Linked DNA regions of Callithrix jacchus. The protein of the gene in region 1 purifies or fractionates together with the protein of each later gene. This does not show direct contact. Links are inferred from orthologs where the notes say so. Each region holds a gene or a part of one and is shown on either strand. Other genes may lie near its edges.

What was found.
Region 2: the proteins of TRAF3IP2 (region 1) and CD40 purify together in Homo sapiens (affinity purification with western blotting, with the first as the bait; 3 studies listed by BioGRID). This does not show direct contact. The link is inferred for Callithrix jacchus from reciprocal best matches to the Homo sapiens genes TRAF3IP2 and CD40.

Annotation. Positions count from the first base shown.
Region 1 is NC_133505.1:117,825,243-117,831,129, reverse strand, and holds part of TRAF3IP2 (E3 ubiquitin ligase TRAF3IP2), read left to right. Parts: intron 1-3,829; coding exon 3,830-4,008; intron 4,009-5,887. UniProt on the Homo sapiens protein: E3 ubiquitin ligase that catalyzes 'Lys-63'-linked polyubiquitination of target protein, enhancing protein-protein interaction and cell signaling. Transfers ubiquitin from E2 ubiquitin-conjugating enzyme UBE2V1-UBE2N to substrate protein.
Region 2 is NC_133506.1:41,361,506-41,367,392, reverse strand, and holds the end of CD40 (tumor necrosis factor receptor superfamily member 5), read right to left. Parts: intron 3,187-5,887; coding exon 3,125-3,186; intron 1,813-3,124; coding exon of another isoform or gene 1,726-1,812; intron 1,628-1,725; coding exon 1,599-1,627; intron 1,081-1,598; coding exon 931-1,080; 3' UTR 439-930; downstream 1-438.

The DNA of each region.
Region 1 (5,887 bases):
GGGCCACCATGTCTAGCTAATTTTTACATATTTTGTAGAGATGGGGTCTTCTTATGTTGTCCAGCTGGTCTTGAACTCCTGGGCTCAAGTGATCCACCCACCTTGGCCTTCCAAAGTGCTGGTATCATAGGCATGAACCACTGCGCCTGGCCTACTAGTTTCTTTTGTAATAAAAACATTCAAACATGGCTGGGCATGGTGGCTTACGTCTGTAATCCCAGCATTTTGGCAGGCTGAGGCGGGCAGATCACCTGAGGTCAGGAGTTCGAGAGCAGCCTGACCGACATGGAGAAACCCCGTCTCTACTAAAAATGCAAAATCAGCTGGGTGCAGTGGCGCATGCTTGTAATCCCAGCTACTCAGAAGGTTGAGGCAGGAGAATCACTTGAACCCGGGAGGCAGAAGCTGCAGTGAGCCAAGATTGCGCCATTGCACTGCAGCCTAGGCAACAAGAGCGAAACTCTGTCTCAAAAAAAAAACCAATCATACATGTTGAGCACCATTCTTAGGTCTCTCCTATGCTTCTTCAGAAAAACAACTTTGCTTTTTCATGACTTCAGTCGTCAACTTTTTAATCATTTTTTCCCCTTATTCCCTTTGAACTCTCCATCAGGTTTTCCTTTTCTCTTAATTTATGGATCTAAAACACACAGGTAAAACTCATGTAAATGGAGCCTCCTCATTTATGACAATATTTGGAAGAAAGTAGATTAAATGTTCACTCTTGCTGAAAAATAACTTTTATATACCACTCTAAAACTAGATTCCATTTTTATAGCATAGAGTAAAATATGAAGTTCTTATTAGAGTGGATGTTTCAGAAATACACAAAGTGGTAATTGGTTTGAAAATTGCCTTGAAAGAAAAAAAGCCCACTTTATTAATGATGGTGAAGAGGCACATGCCTGCTTTCCCTTTTGTTCAGAAGCCCACAAACCTTCATATTTTCTTCTAGACCGATCCCTTTTTTTCTTTTTCCTTTTTTTTTTTTTTTTTTTAAGACAGGATCTGACTCTGTCACTCAGGCTGGAGTGCAGTGGTGTGATCTCAACTCACTGCAACCTCTGCCTTCAACGCTCAAGTCATCTTCCCACCTCAGCCTCTCAAGAGTAGCTGGAACTACAGGTGTCCGCTACCACATCCGGCTAATTTTTCTTAGTTTTTGCAGAGAAGGAGTCTCATTTTGTTGCCCAGGCTGGTCTCAAACTCCTGGCCTCAAGTGATCCACCCACATCAGCCTCCCAAAGTGCTGGGATTACAAGTGTGAGCCTCTGGGCTGGGCCAGACCCCTTATTTTTCTAAACCATAAATACATAGAGTTTAAACAATGGAATAAGATAAAATGTGATTTTATAGCAAGATAGGCACTCTTACAGAAGAAATATCTAAAATTCCAAGGAAATAAACAAAATGTAAATATCTTTATGAAATAAGTTTGGTGTTGAATAGAAAAGAGAATAGTAATTTTTAAATTTTTTATTTTGAAACAATTTAGACTTAGAAAAGAGTTGCAAAGGTAATACAGAGTTTGGTTTTGTAGCATCAATTTAAGCCTGCTATGGTCTTCTTGATTTATTTTATCATTTAGGATAATGAAAAATAAGTTCAGGTAAACTTGGTGGCTCACACCTGTAATCCCAGCACTTTGGGAGGCTGAGGTAGGTAGATTATTTGAGCCCAGGAATTTGAGACCAGCCTGGGCAACATAGCGAAAACCCATCTCTACAAAAAAATACAAAAATTATCTGGGTGTGGTGGCACATACCTGTGGTTCCAGCTACTCAGGGGGCTGAGGCAGGAAAACTGCCCAAGTCCAGGAGGTCAGGGCTGCAGTGAGCCATGATTATGCCACTGCACTTCAGCCTGGGTGACAGAGTGAGACTCTGTCTCAAAAACTAGCAAACAACACACACACACACACACACATACACACACACACACACCCCTATCCAACTGAGGCTGGGCATGGTGGCTCACAGCTGTAATTCCAGCACTTTGGGAGGCCAAAGGCAGGAAGATCGCTTAAGGCTAGGATTTCATGACCAGCTTGGACAACATGTTGATACCCTGTTTCTACCAAAGTAATGCAAAAATTAGCCAGGCATGGTGGTCCCAGCTACTCGGGAGGCTGAGGTGAGAAAATCACCTGAGCCCAGGAGGTCAAGGCTGCAGTGAGCTGTGACTGAGCCACTGCACTCCAGCCTGAGCAAGACCCTGTCTCAAAAAAAAAAAAGAAAAGAAATGAAAAGAAGCTAATTCTCCTCTTATTGATAGTTTGAAAGAGAATTTTAATATGGAAAGTTTATTCTGTCATTAATTTCCATGGTGTTGTTTTTACACAGAAGTTTTTGACTATTATCAAGGCCTTAACATTTCTTTATCATATAAGCAATCATCTTCTATAACAACTAAGCAACTTTTGAAACAATTTTTTTTGGTATAAAGTAATTTAACGCAAAAAAATTTGGAATGGGTTTTTCTTGGAGAAATTTAAAAAAAAAGAAAATGAGAAAAAAATATGGAATGGGATTCTCCCATTAGATGAAAGCATATTTTATAGAAATTATTTTCTCTATAGTAATAAAAATATAAAATAATCTTAAGCATTCATATTTTCAAAATATAGTACAGTTGAGATTCTGTGTAATTTTATTTTAAATCCTGTTATATAAGACTTTTAGAATTTCTGATTACTCTTTGGGTAAAAATATGAAAAGCATAAGCAACAATCTACAAAAACTGGGCATATACATAGAGATTTTGTAGTCAAAACATTTTTTAAAATTTATAATATGACACAGTTTCAAACACACAACAAATAACAGCATCCATGTTCCCACTACCCAGATTTTACGAATGTTAACATATTGTCACATTTGCTTCAGAATCTTTTTTTAAGAAATAAAACACTATAGAGACAGTTTTAGTCCCACCACCGGTTAGCGCAATACCACAGAACAGGGCCACCAAAAAGGCTGCCTCCTCTGGCGGTCAGGAAGGGACAAAATCAGAAAGCCAGCGCTGCTGTGACCACTGCAATGGTTGGGTCTGTTCTGTGCCAGATAGATCTCCACTGGCAAAAAATGGATGTCCATGCCCTGCCCTCAATGCCTCCGAAGCTGGTAACAGGACACTGGGATGCCCTCTGGGGAAAACTCAGCACCTTGTCACTGTGTTTACCAACAGAAACCACAGAAGCGGCAGAGGTGTGCTGTCCGTTTCCATCTGCCGGCCAAATCTCAGATGGGCATCTGATTGTCCATCGCAGCAGAATGTTCATGGGAATACTGGCAACCAAAATGATAAAGCTGCTATCTAATATGGTAGAAACTTCTTTAAAGGGTCTTCAAAATCAGATTTCCATTCATATGTCAATGGTACAAATACTTCTAAACCTACATGGCCCTCTTTACCTTTTAATACATAATTAAATGTTACGTAGTATGAGCTAAACGTCATATCTTTTTATCTGAATGCCTATAACTATAACATCAACCATCTGTGTCACCTGTCATACTACTTTGTTTTGTTGGTGACTTTGCCCTGTGCATGAGACTTGTTTTTCCAATTAAACAAATCTTGAATAGAGTAATCAAATCCCGCTTCCCTTTTACGACTTGGAGCACAGGCCTTCACATGTGGCTGCCAGCTGAACGGCTTATTGACTAAAATTCCATGGAGCTCCCTTCTTCCTTCTGTCTCAGATAAGAAATAGAAGCAGAGGAGAGGTAGCCCACTGGGATCTTCCCATAGTTCTAAAAGGCTCTCTGTCCCTGAAGGTTTGCCTTTGTAAAGAATGAAAATTGACTGTAAGTGTATTCCTTTCTAGGGACCAGCCGCACCACCAACTACCTAAGAGAGCTCGTGCTCCTGGGGAGTCCTTGGAGTCCCCTGCCGAGCTGAGACCACAGGTTCCCCAGCCTCCGTCCCCAGCTGCTGTGCCTAGACCCCTTAGCAACCCTCCAGCCAGAGGAACTCTAAAAACAAGCAATTTGCCAGAAGAATTGCGTAAGTTGTTTGCAACATCGTTCTCTCCTTCTTGTCACTTCTTGTACTTTGTGATGGTTGGATGATCACTCATCCATGTCTCAGTTTTTTTTTTTTTTCCAGACAGGGTCTCAGTCCTGTTGCTCAGGCTGGAGTGCAGTAGTGTGATCATGGCTAACGGCAGCCTCAACCCCCCAGGCTCAAGTGATTCTCCCACTAGGGTTACAGGGGCACACCACCACACCCAGATAATTTGCTTATACTTTTGCTAGAGATGGGGTTTCGCCATGTTGCTTAGGCTGGTCTCGAACTGCTGGACTCAAGCGATCCACCCACCTTGGCCTCCCAAAGTGTTAGGATTACAGGCGTGAGCCACTGCACCTGGCCTCATAACCTCAGCTATTTCTCATAGACACACTAAAATAAAATGCACGTTTTTGCTTAAAAAGTAATCAGCATTTTGTATGAATGTTTTTAGTGATTCTGACACCACTAGTAATGCTCTCAAACTGCTTACCTCTAGATTTCCTTAAGCACATACTCCAAAAATAAATAACCCCAATGTCTTTTCCCTATTCTAAATGATGCTCTTGAGTGGACTTGTCCCTGGGTAAATTGATTGGATGTCCATGTGGTATTGGACAAGGACCCAGCATCTCACCATAAGTTACCAGCAGCCATCAAGAACGAGGTCATTTCCTGTAGGAATGAGCAATCTTGTTTGGAAAAAACGGTCTCACATTCTCCAAACTGCAACACAACCAAATGCAAACTAAGCCTTTTATTTAAAGAAACATTCGACTAAGCGTAAGGTGATGATTCTTTTTCCACATTTTGCTGCCAGAACCAGAAATGTTGAAATACCACCAAAATGTTCTCATATTAAGGTCAGTCAGGATGGTAATTTCCAGAAATCTTAAGAAAACAGCCACTACTTGTGCAATTATTACATGATGTGCTTGCTAGAGAAGCTCGGGTAATTCTAATATGCATTTTCCAAATCTGGGAACCTTTTTGAACCAAACCTGAAATGAGGCCTTTTGTATGTGCTGATTCCTTTTGGGGGATCTGTGCTGATTAGTCATTGACAATTCCAAAAGATTTCTATGACAATGATTCATTGCTATTTTCATTCAAAACATTTTATTTCTGAACACTTTCTTCAAATCTTAATCATTTTAATTTTGAGCATTTCTGGAGAACAAATCCTGCCCTGCATATGTCATAGTTCTGATATAAGTTTATAGATCATATATATCTTACCATAATCTATAAAGGAAATCCTAAAATACACAAGAATTGGGTGAATGTTAGGTGTTCAGATGAAAATTGAGTGCCATCAATATATCTGGCTGTTTAAATGAGTTAATATGACCATTACACATACTTCCATTTGGGAGGTGTGTTTCAAAAAACCTCAGTATAGATACAGACTCATATTTTCTCTCCAGCCCCCATTTCTTCTCCATCCTCTGCCCCAAGGGCTTCCTGAGATTTAACTGGTCCATTCCAGACTAAAAGCCAACACAGAGAGATTATTCAGCATTCACATTAAAATGCTAGCCAGACAATTTCCTCAAGACTTTAGCCTGAGAAAACACTGGTTCATCCTGACTGGGTTAATCTCGTCCAAACGGTACTGTCTGCTGCTCTAAGCTGACCCAGGGATGAGTGAGGGAGTCTGTGATGTTAGACTGCCCAGAGACAGTGTCTCTCCTTCAAGCCGCTCAAGTTTTTCTTACTAACATTTCTGAGCTGTGCTTTGGTCTACTCCAAACTTCCTGGCCTTTCTCTAGAAGTGAGTGGATTGCAGGGAAGAAGGGAGCGGGGAACCACTTTCTCATTCTCCTCCCACTTGCTCTTTCAGAAGAGCAAGTTTTCAGGGCAGTGGAGAGCATCA
Region 2 (5,887 bases), on another chromosome or scaffold:
GACATTCTCATGGATCTACAGAAAATGCCCTCATTCCTGAGCCTGGCAGCAGGTTAAACAGCTCATGTCACCCAGCATGTTCGCCCCTGTTTTTCTTTTTACATGTTTGATGATTTTTTAAATTACATAAGCATTACGTGAATTCACTCTCCTTTTGGGAAAAAAAATGAAGCATTATGGGAAAACCAAATCTCCCTTTAACCAACCCTCCCCCAGCCCCTTCTTCCCCACCCCAGACGTCACCACTCTTCGAGCTGTGGGTTTTCTGTGTATCCTTCCAGAACACTTGTTATACCAATATATGATGTATATTATATTTATACATATAGCCATAGGCAACATACATACATAAAAGCATGTACTTTTTTTTTAAAGGTTTCATACCCATCATTCAGCAACACACTTTTTTCCTTACTCGACAGTGTTTTTGAGACTCTGTTGTATAAACATATTCCAATTTTATTTAGCTCAGGACCCAAAGTGCGGGTTTCCTGCTGATGGACAGTTAAGCAGCATCCCGTTGTTTACTATCACAAACAACGCTGCAGTGGGCATCCATGTATGTGGCTTCCTGTGTGCAGGGAAGCCACTACGACGCCTCTCGGGGCACCAAACTGCTGGATCGGAAGGCCTGGTGGATATTGCTATATCACAGCCCCCACCACCACCACCAAAGTTCTGCCTCTGTCTTTAATACAAGTTGGGAGACTGGATGGGCTCAAGGGATGAAGTGAGAGGTTCTTCAAGGTGAAGTGTTTCTGCATCCGCTGTTAAGTCTCCTGTCTCAACATGCAGGGATGCAAGCAGGAGGGAGGAGCTGTGCCCAGTCAGTGCCAGTCCCTCACCCTCATGTCACAGCAGCAGTAGCACCAGGCTCTCTGGCAAGGTGCCTGTTTGCCCACATGGCCACACTCCTGGGTGCGTCCAGCTTCACTGTCTCTCCTGCACTGAGATGCGACTCTCTTTACCATCCTCCTGGGCAACTGGTTGACATCCATGTAAAGTCTCCTGCACTGGAGGGGTAGGGTTGGGGCCAGGAAGATCGTCTATCTCCTGGGGAATCTGCTTGGTGCAGGGGGCCTGGGGAGGCAAGGTGTGAGGTCACCCCAGCAACAGGGGCAGCTGTGCCTCTGAGGAGCCCCTCCCTGGGAAGTGGATCCCCTCCCCAAGCTCTTTCCCTTTCCCAGATGGCAGGTCAGTGCCAATTCCTCGGGTACCTCCTGCCCCCTGCTGGCCACACCAAGGGTGAGGAGGAGCTTCCAGAGTGGGAGTCAGTGAGCTTACGGGGCTGCTACATTTGCTCCCACCCATCTGACCTAGCCCCAAGACCCAAAGATGCAGCTCCCCACGTGTTGAATGTCAGGAAAGGCATGGAGAACAGCCAGTGTTAGGCTCTGCCAGGGGTACCAGGGGCAGTTCTGCGGAGATTGAACTCTGGATGGAAGGAGCATGGTGGGTGGGGGTGAGAGTCCCCAATTCTGCTGCCACCCCCCTGGCGGCAGGGACAGACTCTGAATCAGTTTTACTGCCCTATAGGTAACCATGAGGCCATCTTTCCAGTTTGCCAAAACTCTGTCCCGGTCTCAGGGATGACCTACCTTATCCTGTGGCTTCCTGTCCACCTTTTCTAGAGAAAAAGAAAATGAAAGGGGAGTTGGAGAGGCTAGATCGGTAAACAGGTGGTCCCCACTCCCTTCCCCATCACCTCCCCACCTGGGGACTCACTGATAAAGACCAGCACCAGGAGGATGGCAAACAGGATCCCCAACATGATGGGGATCACCGCCAGGAGTCTCAGCCGATTCTGGGGACCTGGAGAAATCAGGACTTCGGCATGCACCCCCCGACCTGCAGTTTCTCCCCACCCCAAACCTGCTGTGACATTTCAGACTCCAGAATCCTCCAGTGTCAGAGCTCATCTACATCAAAGGGTTCAAACCGTGGCCCTTGGGGAAACGTGGCTGGCAGATGTCTTTAAAGGAACCAGAACATTTTTTAATGTTTGGAAATATTTGCCGGCATTTTAAAACTGGGAGATCACCTATTAAAACTAGACATCTGATTTCTCTTACAAACTGGGAAGACCAGGTTTCAGTGGGCAGCCTCCCCACCTGGGAACCATCAGCAAGAAGCAAGTAGCAGCCGTGGCTGTCACCACCTGCTTACCACGCTCCCCATCACTCCCTGCTCTCTGTCCAGTGCTGAAGTCTAGCATGATTCATGTCAGCATGTTGCTTTTGGTATAGAAGAGTGGAGGGGAAAGGTAAAGTATTTCTCGTGCCTGGTTTTTTTTTTCTAAGTAGAAAAATAAAAGACCAAAAGGCAGGGCAGCGACTAGGGTGAGGCAAGGAATGAAATTGTTTCAGGACAAAATTGAAAAGGACGACCCAAAAACTCAGGCATCAAGATAAGTACTCTTTTCATGCCATATTTTGGAAATCATCAGGCAGACACCAAGTCAGCAAACTACGGCCTGCAGGCTGGCTGCCTATTCATTTTATTGGAACCAGAGCCAGGATTAGGGTGAGGCAAGAGAGGCAGAGTCATGCAAACACAGGGTTGGGTCCTGTTCTTTATTTAAAATGTTGCTATCTTGCTCATCGTGGATTTCTTTGCATTAATTTTTATTTTTAAAAATATTGCATCAAAATGAATCTACCAATAAATAATTTAAAAGATGAATCTACCTTGATTATTACACTTTTAAGGCACCTTCTTAAATATTGTGCTGAAGGGCAAGTGCCATGCTCACCTCATTCTAGTCCCAGCCCTAGGAATAGGAAAGTAAATTTTAAGAGAAAGCAAAGGGAATGTATTTTTCTTACCCCTGACCTTTTTCACTGATTAACATTATCTGATCTGTGCTGTAGGCCAACCTTCTCCCTCTAAAATCAAAATCTACCAAGGGAGGTGCTGTTATCCCATTATACAGATGAAGAAACTGAGGCTAAGAGAGGAGAAGTGATTTGCCCAGGCTCCCAAGGTAAGTGGCAGAGCTGTGATACCACACCCCCAAACTGCCTCCCCTCCCCCTTTTCTCATCCAGTGTCCCTGTGTGCCTCCGCCTCCCCTTTCAGCCCCCACCTTCCCAGGCTGTCTCTGGGGCCCATTTTCCAGGACTCACCACAGACAGCATCAGTCTTGTCTGTTCCTGCCTGTTGCTCAGCCAGGCCTTTGGTCTCACACCTACGCACACACATGTGCACAAATGCGCACGTACACACACAGAGAGAGAGAGAGAGAGAGAGAGAAAGAGAGAGAGAGAGAGAGAGAGAGAGAGAGAGAGAGAGAGAGATACTAAGTTTCCACAAGCATAAGATTTCCAACTCTAGAGCAAGTCAGTCAACAATCAACAAATCTAGGTTCACTGAGCACACAGTATGTGCCACATCCTATGCTGGTTATTATAGGAATGACACACACTCTGTCCTCACAGAACTTAAAAGTGCTGAGAAAAGATTATTGCACATCTTGAAGGAGTAATAAATAGGGGAGTCTATAATGAGTGCCAAGCTTTGTGATATAGGTAGGCTTAAGTGAGATGGGAATGGTTCAGAGGAGGCAGAATCCACCATGGCTGGAATGGAGAGATGATGAGTTCAGTTTAAGACAGGGTTACTCAATCTCAGCACCAGTGACATTTGGGCTGGATCATTCTTTGGGGGGCGGGGGCTGCCCTATGTATTGCAGATGTTCAGCAGCATCCCTGGCCTTTATCTGTCAGATCCCTGTAGCATCCCTGTCTCCATTTGTGACAAATGAAATGTGTCCAGACATTGGCAAACGTTCCACAGGGAGCCCCCTTTTGAAAACCTCCCGTTTAAGGGTCTTCCGGAAAGGCTTCCCTGCAGACAAAAGACCTAAGTGGGCCAGCTACGTGGGACGATGTGATGGGGAAATCAGGCAGGTGGCATGCAGGACGGTGTTAGGGACCTATGGAAAATTGGGTCTTTAGAACCAGATCACTGGCAGGTGTGATGTTTTCGACTGGATTCACCTGGTCAGTCTCATCAGCATCCAACCAGAGGACTTCACTAGTGAGAGGATTCAGCTGCTTAGAGAGCTCAGAGGCGGAGAAATTACAGAAGAGTGGCCAGCTAGGAGGCACAGCAAGCATCTAGATATGAGATGATGAAGACCTGGTCCAGGGTGGCCCCAGGAGTGGAGCAGGATGGACACAGGCCATTGCAAAGGAAAAATTATCTAAGGTAGGAGAAAAAGAGAGACGCTTTGAAGAAAGCAAGTCTTACATGAGTAGAGCATTCAGTTTACAACACACTTTACATGCCTTTAGCTCAAGCCTTGTGAAATGATGGTCATTCCCATTTTCCAGATGAGGACACTGAGGCTCAGTGAGGCTCACACACTTACTGAGCTGTAATCAGATTTGTAAGCCAGTGCACTGATTCTATAAATACTATGCCACTAGTGCCTCCAGTAGTCGGTCAACATTTATCAGTAAAAATTTATACAGCACCTATTATGCATGAGGTACTGTTCTAGGTATAGGGAATGTATCAGTGAAAGAAAAAAAAAAAGGCCAAGTCTCTACATTTAAAGAATATGCAATATTCTAGGGAAAGGCTGACAGTTAACAAATAAAGTGTATATGGTATACTCCTATTTGTGCGAAAGTAAAAGGAGGGAGTGTGTGTGTGTGTGTTGGTTTATTTATATGTAGAATCTCTGGAAGGATATGCAAGGAACAATGGCTGCCTCCAGAGAGAACTGGGAGGCGAAGGGGCAGGGATGCGAGAAAGACACGGAGACATCACTTTGGATCTTCTATGCTTTCTGTCCCATATGTCTATCTTGCCCATTTTTAAAAATGAAAAGCAAAAAGTCAATGGGGCAGGTATTTGTTTTTTGAGACCGAATGTTGCTCTGTTGCCTAGGCTGAAGTGCAGTAGCACAATCTCAGCTCACTGCAACCTCCACCTCCCAGATTCAAGCATTTCTCCTGCCTCAGCCTCCTGAGTAGCTGGGATTACAGGTGCCCACCACCACACCCAGCTAATTTTTTTGTATTTGATGAGATGGGATTTCACCATGTTGACCTGGCTGTTCTTAAATTCCTGACCTCAAGTGATCCATCCACCTCAGCCTTCCAAAGTGCTGGGATTACAGATGTGAGCCATCACAGCTGGCCTGGGGCAGGTGTTTAAGGTATGCCAGGCAGATGAGTTTGATGGAAGAGAATGAACAGTGTGGTCAGAGGATTGCAAGTATGCACCTACGCACAGACATGTGCACAAATGCACACACACAGGGAAGAGATCAGGAAATGCAGCAGGAAGGGCAGGTGCCATGCTAAGAAGTCTGGGTTCCAACAGAGACACAGGAACCATCTCAAATAGGAGAGTGTCATGATCTGAAAGAAACTGTAGAATGCTCACGTTGGCAAGAGGATGGAGAGAGAACCAGCTGAGGGGAGAAACCAGAGGCAGGGAGGTCAGGAAGCAGCAAAGGCATCACCCGGACCACAGTGATGAGGTCCAAACTAAAGCAACAGTGAAGATGGTGAGTAAGTTCCCAAAACATGTAGACAGCCAGAGGGCAGGATCTGGTGCAGGTTTGGTGCTAGAGGTAAGACAGGGACTCCCTCAGAGTGAGCATCCAGAACCCAGAAAGCCCTAGAAAGTCAGGTAAGCTGAAAGCAAGAGGAGGAAAACTGAGGAGAAGCAGGAGGGGTAGAAGGAAAGCTAAAAGAAGTGTCCTAATACCCCCAAGATGTGAGGCTCTCATGAAGCAAGAGATCACCAGTGTCTATTACCTCTAAAAGAGAGCAGGCAAGAAAAATGCAGACATGTGCCCATCTGGTTGGCCATGAGGCCACTCTGCAGATGCTTCACAAGTGCATGAGTATGTGTGGACCTCTGGGAGTGGG